3 linked regions of the Arabidopsis thaliana genome follow. The protein of the gene in region 1 interacts with the protein of each later gene in a pairwise test. Each region holds a gene or a part of one and is shown in the gene's direction. Other genes may lie near its edges.

The links.
Region 2: the proteins of WRKY51 (region 1) and AT4G20000 interact in a two-hybrid assay, tested with the Arabidopsis thaliana proteins (one study listed by BioGRID).
Region 3: the proteins of WRKY51 (region 1) and AT1G32585 interact in a two-hybrid assay, tested with the Arabidopsis thaliana proteins (one study listed by BioGRID).

What each region holds. Positions count from the first base shown.
Region 1 is NC_003076.8:25,906,445-25,910,553, forward strand, and holds WRKY51 (WRKY DNA-binding protein 51), read left to right. Parts: upstream 1-1,802; 5' UTR 1,803-1,970; coding exon 1,971-2,212; intron 2,213-2,319; coding exon 2,320-2,466; intron 2,467-3,047; coding exon 3,048-3,243; 3' UTR 3,244-3,437; downstream 3,438-4,109. UniProt on the Arabidopsis thaliana protein: Transcription factor. Interacts specifically with the W box (5'-(T)TGAC[CT]-3'), a frequently occurring elicitor-responsive cis-acting element. Involved in defense responses.
Region 2 is NC_003075.7:10,836,435-10,839,836, forward strand, and holds AT4G20000 (VQ motif-containing protein), read left to right. Parts: upstream 1-1,875; 5' UTR 1,876-1,932; coding exon 1,933-2,559; 3' UTR 2,560-2,901; downstream 2,902-3,402.
Region 3 is NC_003070.9:11,788,014-11,791,167, reverse strand, and holds AT1G32585 (VQ motif-containing protein-like protein), read left to right. Parts: upstream 1-1,990; coding exon 1,991-2,653; downstream 2,654-3,154. Other genes in the region: AT1G32583 (tapetum determinant protein), read right to left, coding at 3,065-3,154. UniProt on the Arabidopsis thaliana protein: May function as negative regulator of plant defense.

The sequences.
Region 1 (4,109 bases):
TAAATTGTTCGTTTGGTGTATATATGTATCGTTATAAGTTAGTTTACTTTTCAAGATTAATAGTCTTTAATTAGGTTGGGTTGGAAACTCTAAAATAGTATGAGATAAATTTCAATTGTTTCTAGCATTTAAATTTTGTATGCTCAAAGTTGCTGGAACGATATGGCAAACAGAAATAATGGAATCGAAAAAATATCGTGATATGTTAGAATAAACTGAGTAAAAGTACGTTTTTGTGAATTTTCTTTTGTCATTGTAATTTGTTTTAACAAAATACAGTATTATTCTTTTTTACGTACTAATAAGGTATATTGTTGTATATATAAAGGTCAGTAACTTGTAACTCATCTTTTTTTTTTGTTTTTTTTTCTGTTTTAGCTGATAGGTGGTTGGTGTTCATTAATAAATGTCCATATATCACTTTCAAAGCAATTCACTAAAATATAGATATGTAATTATTTTTTATTTTTTCAGATTTTCCCCTTGAAAAAGGGGTTCTTTCAATTAGAACCCCACACTAACACACTCCTTCACTTTTGGCCAGCCGCCCTTCTTTTTCAGTCTTTCAGTTTATATTTTAGCCTCTTTTTTAAAAAATACTATATTTTATTGCTTTTTCTTCTTCTTAATTACTTTAGTTAATCATAGTTAAAACACATTTTTTTGTGCAAACGTTTAAGTTTTAACACTATCTGATTTTAAACTTTTAATCATTTGCATGTAAAATCACTCAAATAGGTAATATTTATATGATTCCAGTCATGTGTTTCTTAAAAACAGAGCCACACTACATGTTTCTGTGTTTATTCTCAGTTAATTAGTTTTTATGTTTGTTTTAACACAATACAGAGAGAATATTATTGTAGTTACAAAAACAATTAAGAGTGGCACCAAGAAATTTCGTCTTACCTTTTAAGACAAGATTAAAAGACCACTTTGAAATTTTGAATCGTTGACTTAAGAATAGACTTAGCAAAAAAACTTGGTCATACATATATGATATATGTGTGGGTCAACGATTCATATATGTATGATGATACATTGCAATGTGCCAAAACTTCTGGAAGAACAAAAAACGACTAATAAGAAAAAATAAAATATATAAAATGTTGCCAACATTAAAAAACGCATTTGCTGTTTCCCATCAATATTGGAGTATAGTTTATATAAGATTTTTAACAATATTATAAGCTAGTTAATTAATAGAGTTAATCTTTGGTAAAAAAACAGACGGAATTTTATAACTTTCGAAATCATATTGATCTGCATATATATATATATATATATATATATATATATATGTGGATTCACCAGACCAGATGAGATAACCATTTTGAAGGATTTGCTAAATAAAAGTTAGGCCAAAAAGAAATCAATAAAGTTTGTGACAATATCTTTAATAGTATAATTTACATTTACATAATTCAATAAGTCAAATCTTATTGTGTCTTGGTGTGCACTGTAAAGTAAAGTCCTGTCTGCTTCAAACGCAGCATAAGCAAACTTACAACTTAAATCCTCAGCCGTTGATCCAAAGACCAAAATCCAATTATCAACGTTACCTAATGTAGACGATAAAATCTCTTAAAATGGGCCCGTAAAGCCCAAGCAAAAAAACAATTACTTTAAGTGGAAGCTCACTTTTCGCCACCCTTATTAACGTCTGTCCATACGTCATAACAGATGACGTCATCATCATATTCCTTTTTTCACACGTGGCATTGAAGCACCTTCCTAGTATCTACCCTGAAATTGCTTGACATAAGTAGTAGTTGTTTAATAATCTTTATCTCTTAATTATCCTCTTTTCTTAACAAAAACTTGTTACAATAATTTTCATTTTTATATAAATAACTGACCATTATAACTCTTTCTCTTCTCTTCTTCACTTGCTCTAGTTCTTGGATGCTTTAAACCTCTCTCTCTCTCTCTCTCAATTATTTTTTTTTCTATTTCAAAAACAAAAAAAAATGAATATCTCTCAAAACCCTAGCCCTAATTTTACGTACTTCTCCGATGAAAACTTTATTAATCCGTTTATGGATAACAACGATTTCTCAAATTTGATGTTCTTTGACATAGATGAAGGAGGTAACAATGGATTAATCGAGGAAGAGATCTCATCTCCGACAAGCATCGTTTCGTCGGAGACATTTACCGGGGAAAGCGGCGGATCCGGCAGCGCAACAACGTTGAGTAAAAAGGAATCAACGTGAGTTCCTTTTTAATTATTATTGTTGGCAAGATTCTTAACCAAGCAATTAGTATTTCATTATATATAGTTTTATTCATTAATCTTTTTGATAATAAATATTGTAGTAATAGAGGAAGTAAAGAGAGTGATCAGACGAAGGAGACGGGTCATCGAGTTGCATTTAGAACGAGATCGAAGATTGATGTGATGGATGATGGTTTTAAATGGAGGAAGTATGGCAAGAAATCTGTCAAAAACAACATTAACAAGAGGTAACTTATTCATTTACAAATTACTCATTTGATCTAATTAATATGTTTTACTAGTACTTGTTTTTAACATAACATATGGTTGCTTGATAATTTTCTATAACCATCTTGTAATCCTGTTGTTATAGAATATATAGCCACTAGCTAGCTAGACCATATAGTGATTTGAATACTATTTAATGGACCCGTATTATCTACCAACCCACTTGGAATAAAATTTAGCTTCTATATACATCATGCATGTGTGTTTTGTTTATACAAATATATAAAAGGTTCCTATAGCAAAATTGATTGATTAGTGGTATATGGATCAATGAATCCATGGTTGATAATCAGTCATCGTATAGATTTATTTTGACTCATATATCATAAGAGAAACAAATATAATGAATTCATCATCTAAACATATCACTTTCATTCAAAGCATGGTTTGAAAGCAATTTACACACTCTGTAATTGGTTAATGATATTCTTATATATATACATACATATATATATATATATATATATATATATAACTTGGTGCGATATATTATAAAAGTGATTACAATTTAACATGTGGTGGATGAATTTATAATATAAAGGAATTACTACAAATGCTCAAGTGAAGGTTGCTCGGTGAAGAAGAGGGTAGAGAGAGATGGTGACGATGCAGCTTATGTAATTACAACATATGAAGGAGTCCATAACCATGAGAGTCTCTCTAATGTCTATTACAATGAAATGGTTTTATCTTATGATCATGATAACTGGAACCAACACTCTCTTCTTCGATCTTAATCCAAATCTCTCATCCTCGTTGAGATTGTAAGATACCAACAATATTAATATTATAATCTCAATGCTTTGTATAATTTGATAGGTGTATAATAAAGGAGTTACTTATTTCGTGGTTATAAATGTTTAATGTATGTATATTGCTATGAGTACATTTTGTAGGTCACTGACTCACTAGATATAAAATCTTAAGCGTATATTTATTTAAAAAGTAGTGTTGAATTTTTTTGGGTCACGGTTGTCCAAAATACTGCGATCTGAATCCAATCCTTATTTGATTAGACTCAAGAATGATTTAGAAAAACCTGAATTACTTGTATTCTTATATCCATTATTAAACCGACATTTGACCCGAAATGCGTCAGACTAAGATTGTACCGGGAAGGAAATGTGAAAAAAGCAACTTGTAAAAAAAGCCTGTGTGACAGCTCTGTAACTTGTAAGCGTCAACGAGGTCAACTGTTTCGGTTTAGTTGTTACCGGTAATTTGGTTTATAATGGATTTTGATCGGTGTGATTTATGATCCGGTTTTGGTGCGTTGTGTAGATTGTCCCGAACCGATCTCATCTTCTACCTTTCAACAACTTAAGCAAGGAAACGAAGTCGTTTCATATCTGTTCTTCCGCCCAAATCTCAAACACTAGTAAGTAAATTCGAAGGGAGTCTTGGATCTCTCTGATCTCGATCCAGATTCTCTCTACTTCTCTTATCTTCGATAGAGAAATTTGTATCTTCAGATTTATTCGAGGAGGAAGACGAACCCTACTTGATTGATTTAGGAGGTGGAGAGATCTTTCTGAACAAGTTTGATTCTGTTGGTAATTGATCTGAAATCCTAGGTTTTAGCCGTAGATCTGCTGCTTGTTTC
Region 2 (3,402 bases), on another chromosome or scaffold:
AGAATTAATGAGTTTGTGCACAACTTTCGTAGACCTTCAAAGTTTATATATCATAATTATCCTCATATTTCTTTCTTTTTTGATTAAAGTAAATTTTATAATACAAAATTATAGGCGTATACGATGATAGTGTTTTTTGGTGACTTCTACAAACTACAAGCTTTGTATTTATTTTATTTTATACCTTTTATTGTACACATATAACATATAGTTTATGAACGGGAGGAAGCTTCATCAAATAAACAACCCACCGCCTAATTGACGGGCAAGTGACAGCTCTTTAACGGTAATTAAATTTATTTTAGGGTTTTGTTAAGAATGACAATACATACTTACGCGTGATTTTTCTTAAAATAATCGACGGACAAGTGAATCACGTTGGAATGATATACTATACGATGAAATCGATTATTGAATAATTTAGGTTTTAATTTTATTATAATCTTAAACTTATAACGACGTAAGCAGCTTCTCGTCATTGCTGATCATCACACTTTATATCAAATCTTCAGAAACAAAATTTATAAATTGAGAGTTTGCATCAGTATTTATTTTCTTAATTCTGAAGCAAATATTAATTCAGTGTTTGATAAATAAAAAAACCATGAAAGGGTGTAAACATTAACTACAAATGCATATACTATCGTTAAGATTCGAATCAGTAAGTAAAATTTGGATAATTCAAATCGATTATCTTAATAAATACATATATAGTGTTAGCTTTCTTTTTCAGCTTGTATACTTCTGTAATGATGAAAAAAAAAATCAATATCACCATAGACTTGGTAAATTGCTGGTAAATGCATCATACAAATTTAAAATCATAATCATGAGAAAATTATTCGTTTATAAAACAATATACAAAAGATGCATTGACCAGTAAACGATCAAGAGAACCAAAGAGACAGGAAATCATCAAAGTCAAGTCCTCATATAAGATCATACTTGACGTTATCTCCATTTTTCGCTTTCAAAATTATTTTCATTATCACTCCATCTCTATCCACCTAAACTACTAATATTTTTGTACATATATAAATAAAAATATTGAAATTAACCTTACATACAAGTTAACGCTCTTATGAAAAGCTAGTTTGAAGCCTGACATACATTTCGGTTATTACTAATTTAGTATATGCGATAAAACTTCTGAGGAAAAAAAGATGATACATTACAATTTAGTTTAAACCAACAACATGGTTTGATTGTCATAGATCATTTTGGATATATTTTCCTTTTTAGCAATAAAAATAACTAAATGGAAGCTTAATTTTATTTAGTCTAGGAACTTTTGGTTACAAACAAACTATTATCTTTTTTAGAATAACTTATTCCGGGAGATATATTTAGTTGATTTTAGTACGGTTGATTTGGAGGATGTATGTCATCAAGTTCTCTTCCAGTAGAAAATGATTTATGATTTATTTTTCGTCTATTGAAAAAGTTACAATAATTGAATTAGTAGTGAAAGTTATACTAGTTCAATTAAATTCTTACTTACACTTAGGAAACCCACCATCAAAGTCAAGACTCAAGAGAACAACCTTTTATATAACCAAAAGTGTACAATTTAGCATTAAATAAAATGATCACAATAAAATTTGGAATCCTGGTCTTCATCAATTTAGTGAATCCTCAGCTATTTCTTACACCATAAATTAGTTAAATTAAGAAAAAGATTATGCTAATACTTAAAATTCAAATACTTATTCAACACTCAAATGATTTACACACTGCCCAATTTATTATATTGAAGTTATTTGTACATAAACATATTAAAATCCTCAAAGGTACTAGTCAACGTCAACGACCATCAAGACTTAGCTACATCTCCTTCCCGCATATAAAGTAAAACCTTAATCCTACCTCCTATGCAATGTATACAAGCTACACCAAAGAAAAAAAAAATTGACAAACAAATATAAAATCCCTATGAACAACTCTAGAGAAGACCAGTGGTTACAACACTATGAGCAACAAAATATTCAAGAGATTACTCCGTGCTTCAACGCCATTAACATCGCGTCATCGTCGGGATCTTCCCTTGGAGACGGTGGTGCCGCGGCACATGAAGCTGCTGGAAGGAGATCTAGGGCTTCGAGGAGAGCCATACCAACAACCCTCCTAAACGCAAACCCTAGCAATTTCCGAGCCCTAGTTCAGAAATTTACCGGACGTTCTGCCGGAGGTGAATCCAACCGCAGAAAAGGTCCGGTGACTTTGGATTTCGGGTCTCCCACTACAATCTCCAAAGAAGCTATCTTTCCAGTCTCAAGCGATCGAAGTAATAACAATCTTGATCATGTGGTCAACCAACACGTGAGTAACGAGCAGCGTCACGTGACTTGGTCAGGTACAGAATCAATGATGTCGTATCAGTTAGGCGAGGAAACTAACTCGGCGGTTTACAGCAGCGGGTACGATGATCAAGATCTTCCGAGGGAATACTCCGGGAATAGTAGCTATGATGAAAGTTTGGATCACATGGATTATTATCAAGATTTCCACCGTGAGACGGCAACATTGGAAGAGTTTATGATGAGAGATCTCGATTTATAATATAGCTTGTTTTTAGTCATTAGATATTATGAAGATGATAATAATCATGATCATCATAATGTTACTTAGGGGAAAAACAAGTTTCTTAGAAATATTACTTTACAATTGATTTTCTAATAATATTTGAAGAAATAAATAAAATATGTTCCAAAAACTTCCAATATATGATGTGAATTTTGTACGAATCACTTGAATTCAATTAAAGGGTTACGTTGAAAAATTAAAATGGATTTGGTATGGTGAATTACTTAAAAATTTAAAAAGTTTTAGATCTAGGAAGGAGTTTAGTTAGAGCATCTCCAAAATAGAGTAGTAACTTAATCTTAGAGTTGGTTTTTTCTCCAATCTTATTTTGTTTTGGAGGTGAAAATAAAAATCTCCAAATTTTGATGTAAAATGAAAATACAAAACTCCAAATATGCTGTAAAACAAAAAAAAAAAGACAACTCCAAATATAAATAAAAGTTTGGATATTTCTATTTTGGAGTTAGAAATGAAGATAGGTTGAAGAATTTTTTTATTATCTCAAAATAGAGTTTAAAGATGAATATGGGGGTTGCAGATGGTCTTACCATACTACACAACTCGTTTATGTGTTGTTTGTACCTAGTGTTACTGATAATCCAACTCTGTTTTCTAAAAATTAATTCTAGTTTGCAGTACGTTAAAACGATTTTGATTGATATAACAGATTTGATAAGTATATAAATCGTTTAAATTTCGTATATTCATAAAATAATTTAATTTCTATATTTAACATAATAAATTTAAAATTAAGTAAAACGATTTTTGAAAACAACTTGTATTTTTCACCAATACAACCTTTGAATATCTCAATGCACT
Region 3 (3,154 bases), on another chromosome or scaffold:
TCTTCTCCAAGATCAAACTTTGGTAAGCCTTTTACCATCTCTTTTTCAGCTAGCGATCTCAAGCCTTGATGGTTGAGATGTCCAAATCTCTTGTGCCACATATTGTTAGCTTTGCCGATCACTTGAAGGCATCTTGTTTCTTCAGTCTCCTTTGACTTTTTCACAGCTGCAAAAACCACAAACATGCGATTTTTTGTCATCGTTGAGTGCATCACCATTCTCTTCTCTGTTTTGTGCCACACTTCACACACATCACCTTCAATGATGAATCTTAACCCTTTTTGTTGTAGTTGACCCACGCTAAAGAGGTTATTCTTCAACCCTGGCACAAAGTACACATCTGAGATCACTTGAATTCTTCCATCAACTTCAAGTCTCAGCTTTCCCTTTCCTTCTACCGCCATTCTTCGATCATCTCCTAGTCTCACGTTCTGCTTAAAACCACTATCCAACTCGAGGAACCACTCTCTTGTACCGCACATGTGGTTACTGCATCCCGAGTCCAAGAACCAAATTTGTTTCTCTTCATCACCAATCTGTTCTACATGAGCCATGAGAAGCAGATCTTCCTCCATCTCAACATAATTCGCTTCTTTCTCCCAACTTGGACACTCCGCCTTGTAATGTCCCATCTTGTGGCACTTGAAACACTCTACCGTGTCTCTGTTCACATAGCCACGCCCTCTTCCTTGGTAACCCCCTCTACCTCTTCCTCGGCTTGGACTTCCTCCTCTGCCTCTTCCTCCATCCGGTCTCCATTGAGTTTCAGCTTTTAACACTCTCTCTTCCACATCATGTCTACTCAAGTTCTGCTCATGCACCATTAAAGAACTTTGAAGCCCATCCACCGTAAGCTCCTTGATGTTGTTAGACTCTTCTATAGCACACACAACGTATGTGAATTTTTCGACCAATGTTCTCAGAATTTTCTCCACTACTTTGGAGTCTGGCATGTCTTCTCCCAGATTCCGCATATCATTAGTGATTTCCATCACTCTTGAGAAGTAACCCGTGATTGTTTCTCCAATCTTCATCTCAAGAACTTCAAAGCTTCTCCGTAACCTCTGCAGTTGAGCGCTTTGAACCCTATCATTCCCTTGATATTTCCTTTTCATTGACTCCCACAAGTCCTTCGACGTCTCCTTCTGCAGAATCGTCTTGAGAATCGTCTTATCTATTGATGCAAATAGATAGTTCTTCACTTTGTGGTCCTTCACCGTCTTCTCCGCCAACTCTGTTCTTTGCGCTCCGGTGAGGATCACGTTTCTCTCCGGCCTTGGAATTCCCGTCTCAATGATATCCCACCACTCCTTTGATCTTATCAGATTCTCCATGAGCATAGCCCAATGCTCATAATCACCATCGAATTTTGGTATGATCACCGACTCCTTTTCACTCATGGTGTTTCTCTTTTGTACCAAGCTCGTGACAAGCTCTGATACCACTGTTGTTTTATCAAATCTCACTTTAAGGAAAAACAAAGATTTGCAAGAACAGATACTGAAAAACTCTTACTTGCATTGAATTCAGATTAGTCAATAAATAGACTTTACAAAGAAAGCAACTGAAGCTACGAAACTCTCGCAACTAAACTAATGTCACGATTCTTTCTCCTACAAAGGTGGAGACTTATTCAAAACTAGAAAAACCAATAAAGTTGCAGAACCAACACAAAGATGCAGGCCCAAATCCAAACCGATTGGGCTTTATTCTTCAATGACCTGTAGATACATATTTTCTACTTTCTATGGAAAAAATGGAAAACAAATTTAAAAGGACAAATATCCTTGTATTAAAGTTGGATCATCTTATTATTGAAATAAATCAAGAACTAAAGTGGGCAAAATCAGGAATTTAAAATGAATTATGATGAATAAAGAACTGTTGTATATATGTGTAATATTCTTACTTATCTCGTGAAGCTTCCTAGCTAATGATTGGCACACTTTCTTCCTAGCGAACGAGTGACAAACATTCTTGTTGTTAAAAAATGTATCAGCGACCACAAAATGATTACTTGAGAGTGAATAAGCGGAAGAGTAACTACGACCAACTAAACGCTGACTCTAACTCCGTACCTCAGCTGGCGCAAACACAACCGCGAGTGCAAGTCTACATCATAGACAAGAACGACTTCAAAAGCCTTGTTCAACAACTAACGAGTCCTCAACCATGTGACCGTTTACCTCAAAACATTCCAAAGCATCAAGATATTAGACCAGAGCCGATAAATTGGACCTCTTCGATTCCTCCCAGTGCCATGGCGGTTCAAGAGGATCCTGATGTCTCATTGTATATGGCTTATCTTCAAAGCTTACTCGAAGAATCATCAGGATCTAATGGAGACCAATTCGAAGAACCTTTTGATAAGTATCATTCTCATATGATGGCTCAATCGCAACCTCAAGATCCTACACAATCAATGCCACAGTCCAATGGTTTTGAACCTTTTCCCTCTTCCTGGTTCAATGGCTCGACCCAAGAAATGCATGGTGCTTCCTCATTGCAATCAACACGAGTTGATTATGAATATCCTCTACCACTGACTCCAAACTTCACATTTTCGTCTATGACTCAACATGAAGTTTTTGGTTCGGATCTAGATAGTATTGGTCCTGATGAGGATTTAGAATTCTCATACGAAATAAATTGATAATTTATTTTTCAATCGTGAAAAATAAATCTAAAATATAATGTTCGCATGATTTCAAATATCATAAAAATCATAATAAATTTTAATTCTTAAAACAAAATAATAAGAGTGGTTTAGAAAGATTTTATAAGCTTATGATTTGAATGTTAAAGTGGATAATTTGGCACGTTCTACTTAATATCGGTTGCCAAAAAAAAAAAAAAAACTTGTACTGTTTGGATGGTACTCACTATGAAGGTTTGTTTTGGCTTATCATTAAATTAAATAACTCTTTCTTGACAATAACATTAGCAACATTGTTCAACTGCTACCTGAAGTTAGAATCTAATCCACTACATGAAGTACAATACCAAAATACTTCTCATTTTTTGAGTCTTGTGGAAATGACCAAACTTGGTATAGTATCTAAAATCAGAAGCAAGAGACTGAAGCAACAGAGAGAGGGTAAGAGAAGCTGTTAGCATATTGAAAGGAGAGTGACTGTCCAGGACCAAGAGGTTG